Linked DNA regions of Oryzias latipes. The protein of the gene in region 1 purifies or fractionates together with the protein of each later gene. This does not show direct contact. Links are inferred from orthologs where the notes say so. Each region holds a gene or a part of one and is shown on either strand. Other genes may lie near its edges.

What was found. Proteins that work in one complex are often made in the same cells at the same time.
Region 2: the proteins of vti1a (region 1) and vamp4 purify together in Homo sapiens (affinity purification with mass spectrometry; 4 studies listed by BioGRID and IntAct, counting the BioPlex papers as one, with this or other methods). This does not show direct contact. The link is inferred for Oryzias latipes from reciprocal best matches to the Homo sapiens genes VTI1A and VAMP4.

The regions. Positions count from the first base shown.
Region 1 is NC_019877.2:9,985,495-9,989,826, reverse strand, and holds the start of vti1a (vesicle transport through interaction with t-SNAREs homolog 1A), read left to right. Parts: upstream 1-1,394; 5' UTR 1,395-1,498; coding exon 1,499-1,592; intron 1,593-4,332. Other genes in the region: palmitoyltransferase ZDHHC6, read right to left, coding at 1-226. UniProt on the Homo sapiens protein: V-SNARE that mediates vesicle transport pathways through interactions with t-SNAREs on the target membrane. These interactions are proposed to mediate aspects of the specificity of vesicle trafficking and to promote fusion of the lipid bilayers.
Region 2 is NC_019862.2:3,865,277-3,869,358, reverse strand, and holds the start of vamp4 (vesicle-associated membrane protein 4), read right to left. Parts: upstream 2,878-4,082; 5' UTR 1-2,877. UniProt on the Homo sapiens protein: Involved in the pathway that functions to remove an inhibitor (probably synaptotagmin-4) of calcium-triggered exocytosis during the maturation of secretory granules.

The DNA.
Region 1 (4,332 bases):
TGGCGTTGAAGTAGTTGTAAAGGATAAGAACAGTCCAGTTTAAGAGCATGAGGAAGTTAATGCTGCCTGCAGTGGTGTCTAGAGGCCAGTACCAGATGACTGAGTCTATGATTGCCATGGTTGAACATATAGCAATGACAGAGAGGGCTATGATTGGGCCCCAGTGGCACAATCTTCGAACCTCATGGAGGTTCTCGAATCGAACTAACGCTGAAAGGAAATTCATATTCGTCCCACTGGAAGCTTAAGAAAATGTTCTTTTTTTTTTTTTTTTGTTGGGGACCTGAAATGTTTGGACTCTGCCTGAGTGTGCTACTTGTTTCTTATATCTTGCAAAGTCAGCAGTGCACACATTTTTATTTTCATCTTTCAAGAATCCAACTACATCCCTGGTCTGTGGTCACCCGGCCTTTCCGTGTCCCGGTGTGTCTTGCCCTTGAAGAGCGCAGCATGCTCCCCTCTCAAATCCTGAAGCACAGGAACCTTGTGAGAGTCCGTTTACCCATCTGATGGAGAGAAAGAGAGAAAAAAAGGGGACAAGCATTTATCATAGAGTGCTAAAAGAAAAGGCTATATTTCCTCTTTATATATGCAAAATAGGTGCTATTTATCTGGAAAACAGGTAGTTGTGGGTCACATATTGACTCCTATCTTTATATAGAAATCTATATATTCTAAAGAACGACATAACTATAATGAAAACACTTTTAATGGTCAAATTAATTACGTTTTATTGTTTTTTAAAAACAGAGATATTGGAAGGGTGAAGCTTTGAATGAAAGAAGAAGAAACTCCATGCACAACTAATTAGCTTGTCAAGTCAAGCTTAGCTAGCAAATTCAAAACAACATTTTAAGCTAATTCCAACAAGTTTCTCTATGTATCAGGAATTCATACATTCATACTAACATCTTGCAAAATTGTAATTAGCTTGGCTGTTTAGATAAACATGTTTCGGCTTAAGAGTAGATGCATGCAGCAGGTAGCGAAGAAGTGAGGTTGGTTAGTTAGCTAGCTCGTTCACCATCTTCCACTACCAGCACTGACAGGAAAACCATTTCAAACTCGAAAAAAGAAAGATGAATCAAACATGACACACGAACGTAAAGCTACGTAGAAATAAACACATTGAATAGTGTTTCAGTAAATAAGCTGTCACTTTAAATTAGTTTAACCTTACCACTTGCACTTCGGATTTTTGTTTTCCTCCCCTATGTGCCCTGAGAACCTTCCTAGTTGCGTCTCGGATTGAAAATCCGTCAACTACAAACAGTCAGATCAAATTTAAAACAAAATGAAAAAATATATGTTTTGTTAAATAACACAACAAAGAGATAGGCGTGATAGTTTTCCGAAACCCTCTCTCAGTAGTAGCGCCAACAGAACACCCAGTTCCTAGCCGGACACCTTTTAGTGTGACTCAAGGAAGAAGCTTGTTATTATTTTGAGCTAACTGTCAGCCCTAGAGCTACTTTGCTACCTAAACGTACTGGTCAAAATGTCTTCAGACTTTGAATCCTACGAGCAGGACTTTGGAACGACTACAGCCGAGTTAACAAATAAAATCGGCAGAATTCCCAAACTAAGTGGAGGTAAGACTTTTACCATTTTAGCGTCAATTAATGATGAGCTGGCAGGCTAGCTAGTAGTAGCAAGAAAGCCTCAGTTCTAGTAGAAGGTGTAGCTTTAATTGTTAACTCTAACTTGTTTGAAATCGTTATAAATATATTATGTTGATACATTTACACGTTTATATTCGCCGTGTGACTCAGTTACTGTGCTCTTTCTGTAGGAACAAAAACAAGTGACCGACTACCTGTGGTTATAATAAATTAATGGTAGAGGCCAGTGTCAAATAGAAACATTATGTCAAATTTATATTATAGATTTTAAGATTATAATTTAAAACCAAAGTTGTTCTTTAGCTTTAAGCAACTGGTTTTAAAGTATTAAAATATTTAAGAAAAATACTTCTAGATTCTACAGATGGCAAGAAACTCCTAACCCATCATAGCTGCTGCCTGTTTTCTGTCAACTTACATAATAGTATTAGAACTGTGATAATCTCTATTCTCTTTTACTATTCTAACATCTTAAACACTTTTAAAATTTAACATCATCAATAATTGTGTACTTAAGCTTCATTTAATTGACTAGAAACATATGTACTTTCCTATTTAAAGTACTCAGTTTAATTTATATCCCAGGGTATTTACTCCACTAATTTGAGAATGGGTTTCAACACTACTAAAAATGTCACTAACATAACAAGAGAGCATATGTGTTCAAATGAAAACAAAAGATCCAAAGTGGAACGTGCATTTTAATAATATTTAGTGGTCTACTACCATCAAATAGTCACCATTTTAGACTTTTACATCCAATGTTTGAAAGCACTTCTATCAATTCTTCTTAAGCCTCTATTTCTTATTTATGCATTTAGTTTTTCTTTCCCAACTATTGCTTAACTTCTGTTAACTTACTGTAGTAAATGAAAACCTTTTCACGATAATTTTGAGGATTTAACTGCAAACCAATACCCTTAGCAAATCAAGTTGTTGTGATATGTCATAAGGTTTTTAATCCCAGTGGGATATGATGCAAAAAGACAATGATTATATTGTACACATGCCTCAGTTAGTTCACATAAAACAATCAAACCATATAGTGTTGGAAGTCTGAACCTAATCATATTATTTACTTAAAAAATATGAACTGCACTGTCATGGTAAGCAATAAAAGAGACACTGTACATATTTATCTCACTTTAAACACTTCTTTGTCACATATGTCCCTGCATATCCATGAAGATGAAGACATTTCTACAGCATATTTTAAATTAGTTGCACATCTTTATTATGTCAAAGCACGAGGAGGACATGTGTTGGTCACAATTTGTGTTTCACAGTAAGACCATATTGTATTTGTCACTTTATTTATGGCACTTTGCTTTGTTTGTATAAGAAAGCATTACTACGGCAGTTATATGGATCACCTCACTGAAACACTTATATTGCAGCCTATACGGAATAATATGCAGTTCATATTGTAACTGTCACAAAATAGTGTGAGCAGATTTCAGATAAGTAGCATATAGTATATTATAAGAATGATTAAGTATGAATGAAGAGTGAATGAATAATGGACAAATTGTTAGCGCTTTGAGCACCAAGAAAAAGCACAGATAAATCTAATGAATTATTATTATTATTATAAAAGACATGAATGAATACAAATTTAAGTCTTTAATTGTAAAAAATCTAACAGAACTAAAAAAAAAACTTAAAAAAATTCACCTGAACATGTGAAACAATGTACTGCTGGTTAAATGCGTAATAGCAATAGACCGGTCAGTTTATTTATATGGCGTCTTACTATGACCGTATAAAACAAGGAGCTATTCATTGAAACTCAACACATTAAAACAACAGTTTAAATGATAACACAATTTAAAAGTTAAATAGTAAAATATTTATAATATTGGAAAATAAAAACACAGTCAAAATAAAACACACCAACAGAGCAGCGTCTAATGGGCAAAAGCCTGGCAATAAAAGTTTTCAGAAGCTTTTTATAAATAGACTGTGAGGACGCTTAGCGAGGCATTCCTCACCTTTGGTGCACAGACTGAAAAAGCCCATTCCTCCTTTAACTTTCTCTTGAACTTTTGTACTCTAATCAGAACCCAGTCAGCTGCCATGAGGCACTGACTGGCATGAAGGGAGAGACAGGCTCAAAGAGGCACGGTTAATTAAAAAAAATTAAATGAAACGGAAGAATCTTAAAGTTAACGTCCAAAATGCACTGGCAGCCAGTGAAGGAAAGCTCCAATTGGGGCGACGTGGTCCCTCTTTAGTGTTCTGGACCACTTAAAGAAGCGGAAGGGACAAGAGGCTGACTCTGAAAGTTACAGTAATCCATTTTAGTTTCTGATGAAAGCATGGATTACTGTCTGAAAGTGTAGTCTTGATAAACAGCGTCACCTTCACCAGCTACCTTAAAGAAAAGAAGCTATACAAAGCGAATTTAGCTATCACGTTTAAAATCACTGTCCGTTTCTGACCTAGATTTGTCCCAGACTTTTAAATGTGAATCAGGAGAATCAGATCTACTGTGGAGGGGTCACACGACTCACTTTAAACTGTCTAAAACAAACTAGGACATAGTTAATTATTTGTTTTTCTAGAAAATCCTATAATTGATAATGACACAGATGTTCTGGTTTGGATGTGATATCTTTGAAGAGTCATGCGTATTTTGAAGAGTATTTGTATGCCTGCCGGGAACTCACTACTGGAGGTTTGGCATTGCCAGAAGCAACCTTTTGCCGGT
Region 2 (4,082 bases), on another chromosome or scaffold:
GTGTTTGTGGACAAAGACAAATTAAATAAATAGGTCAGTGGAAGTGCGATAGAGTCTGCTGCCGCTTTTATAAAATATGGTTCCAGATCATCAGGACCAGCAGATTTAGTAGGATCAAGGAGTTTAAGGGCTTCTGAGACTTCTGAAGTTGTGAAGAGGGAAAATGAGAAATTATGTATTAAATCTTCGTGATTCACAGGGAGGGAGTACTCAGCTGAATGTTTTATAGAATTAAATAATGATCCAGAGGAAACAAAATGCTCATTAAAACATAAAAGCATCTCTGTCTTGTCTGTTATATTACAAGTGTTTTTCATTATACTTGAAGGGAGCTCAATACCTGAATTATTTTCATTTAGGGACTTAACTATCTTCCAAAACTTTGAGGGATTATTTAAATTTTCTGTAGTATTTTTCAAAAAATGGTCAGATTTCACATTTCGAATTGCAGTAGTGCAAGCATTGCGTAGTTTTCTGAATGCCAGCCAGTCAGATGCATTATCAGAATGTCTAGCTTTTGCCCATGCTACATTCCTTTCATGTAGTTGGTTAGCCAAATCTGAGCTAAACCACGGATTATTACGACCTTTCACTTTATAGTGCCTGATAGGAGCATGTCTATCAAGGATTTTTGTAAATTCATTATGGAAATAACTCCAGGCCCTTTCAACATTATCAATTTCCATCATCGTGTGCCAGTCAAATTCATATAGTTCTTGACAAAAGGATTGTTCACAAAATTGCTTGACATTGCGTTTTATGATAATGTGTGGTTTGGTTTTGGGCATTTTTGTGTTTCTCGATGTAGCAATGATACAGTGATCACTTATATCATTTGCAAATACAGCAGCAGTTGAATACTTTGAAGGAGAATTTGTAAGAATCAAATCAATTAGCGAGGATTTCTCCGGAAATTTGGGGTTAGGTCGAGTAGGATCATTTACTAATTGAAAGAGGTTCAGGGAATCACAGTAAGATTTAAAATCATCAGAAACAGCTTGCAACCAGTTCCAGTTTAAATCTCCAATTATTACAACTTCATTGTATTTTAAGGAAGACAGCAGTTCCATTAAAGAGGGAAGAGCAGAGCCATCAGCAGAGGGCGCTCTATAGCAACCAACTAGGGTAATATGCAGAGAATTAGAGATCTCCAGATCAAGAGCTAAAAGTTCAAATTTCTTTGCCATTGATGTTTGCAGAAGAACTTTTGCATTAAGTTTAGTTTTGATATAGATGGCTATACCTCCCCCCCTTTTGGGACGATCAGCCCTAAAAACATTATAACCATTGATATGTATGTCAAAGTCAGTTATTGATTTGTTTAACCATGTTTCAGAAACAACAATTACATCTGCTTCAGTTGAAATTGCCCAAATGCGTATCATATCCATTTTAGGCAATAAACTCCTTACATTGAGATGAATGAATCCAAGACCATTACGAGATTTGAAGTCTTCAGGAGTACTAAAAGTAGGACTATCTGGTCCAGGGTTTGGTGGAATATTCCCGGAGATTAACAACAATAAGAAGATGAGGCGTCTTTGAAGTTGTGGTTTCTTACATACTGCATTTGAAGGTCCTAGAGATGGGAACGTTTTTAAGAATGCTATAGTAGAGTTTATAGTAAAATTCTTCTGAAGAACCATTACACAGCTGAGGTGCAGCAGTTCATTTGGATTGTCTGAGAGACACACAGATGCGTATGCATTATGACATTCATGAATAAAAGTTTTTGTTCCAGCATGAAATACACAACACACTGGATTCACTGGACGGGAGTCATCTGACTCCCGAAGAGCTACGGCAATGCCAAAGTCTCCGATGGAATATAAGGCCAATGTTAGCAGGAAGAATATTTCAGCCCTTGATATTATTTGCCGGGGGCTTTGAAGGAAGGTATTTAAAACTTTGGCCATGGCAGCCTTCAGTCCAGATATCTGCCAGAATCCAGTTCGGGATACACCGAGAGCCGTTTTTTTTTTTTTTTTTTTTTTTTTTGTTTTGTTTTGTTTTTTGTCAGACGTCCTCCCGTGACGTGCCACACAAACAGCAAGGAACACGGAGCTTGAAAGCTGCGGGCAAAAAGAGCGAAATTACTGCCCAAGCTTAGTTCAACTTTAAATGGGTATAGATCACACGATCCGAGGGTTGAATCAAGCACTTTCCTTCACACAAAGATAGCAAGCTCATCAACCAGCCAAGCGCTCCTGGATCTGCTTCGGATAGGGCATATCACACAGGTGCTAGGAAGGCAGGACGGCATCAGCATCTCAACTTTGGCAAAAATATATACAATAGTGCGCCAGCTTCGATAGAAGGTAAATTGGGACTTCCCTTAATTGATGAAGTATAAGGCCCGTCAAGGTTAGTCACGCCAGGAATCCAGCGACGATCACCCGGTGATAATCTTCATGATGACCGCATACAGTTCATGATCGTCGAAAAAATAAAAAATAAAAATAAAAAAAATAAAAATAAAAAATGGAGCGTTCCTTCGAATATCAGTGAACCAACCCTGGTTTTGGGTCTTAATGAATCGAGTAGGCTTTGACTCACAGAGTTTCGGAGCTAGCCTTTCTAAAAACAAGCACGGTAATTGATAAACAAAATACCATTCTCAGAAAGGCCAGAAACAACTATAAATTATAATCTAAAATAGCTTAAAAGTCGTTAAGAAAAAATAAAAATAAACTCATTCATTCACAGGACGCTAACAGACAGACAGAGTGCGTGCTGCCATCTTGGCGTCTCGACCTGTGCACCAAATAAAAATAGGACGCCCAGACATGGATAACCAGGGGGGTATTCCAGGGAGCATATTAAAACTACCCTGACTTTAATCCTGAACTCTGGCTGAAATCCGCCTGAACTTGCTTACTCTGGGTATGTTGGTTCCAAAAGACCGGATATGAGTTAGCGTAATTACGCTCGACTTGGTAACCCTGGGTTAATGCACGTGCACAGCAAGTACATAAAGACATTCTCAATGGATCACCGATTTCCGGAGTCACCATGGAAACGCGTGGTGAAAAAAAGAGAGCGCTACAATTCAGTGAGACGGAGTCTGAGATTAATGACGGCGTATGAAGATTATAAACCCATCAAAAAAGTAACACGGCTGCATCATCAAAAGAAAAAAGGAAAAAAAAGAGTTTCTGCTTGCAGAAAAATAACGGACAAAGTAAAAGCAATAGTTTCTGATCTTATTTCTATTATTCTTGTGACGCATATATATATATAACTTATCCAACTTAAATGAATTACTTATTACTTTATTCAACCTAATTTCTTACGTCTATCCAACTCAATATTTCTTTTTACAACTCAAATTTACATATTTATCTAACTAAATATCATATTACTCCAGTTTAATTAAATGTTTTTCAATCTTAATTTATTGCAATTCTTGAACTCTCCTATGTCTAAGAGGCTGCAGATTTTCTCATTTTTATAACAATAAAATGAATGAAACAAAATGGAACCACATTATGAAGTCTGTTCTCTGACTTAAATATTCCTCCACTGGGCAGTAAAGGTTCTAAATAAACTCGTGATCCTCTTCCTCCCTCTCCCTCATGGTGCTGAAAGAATTAAACATAACAGGGTAAAATAACTTGGTAAAACACATTAAAACAGCTAAACAACTAAACACATTTTGTCAAAAAACCACACTTGAACCCAAATCCGTCCAGACAGGCAAAGTGAATGGTATCCCACAATCCCTTGCGGTGCCGATCTAACAGCAGCACCAAAGTTACACCTACTTAATTGAATTAATTTGAATGAAAGTAAAATAACTGATAACTACGTGTTATTTTTAAGCTGACTTAAAAATGATTTCTCTTAACTGAAGCACATAATTAAGTTAGATCAAAGTAAAAAAGTTTATCTTTCCAACATCCATATGTGGTCTTATCACCATTTCACTGTGGAAAAAGTATTATCTGAGCTTCTTCATCCACTAAATCATCTTCAAATGGACACGCCATGCTGCTTCACCTCTCTGAAAACAAACTAACCTTCAACTAAACCTGCTCCAGACCAGGTTATGTTCAGAGCATGAGTTGCCATGGCAACTTGAC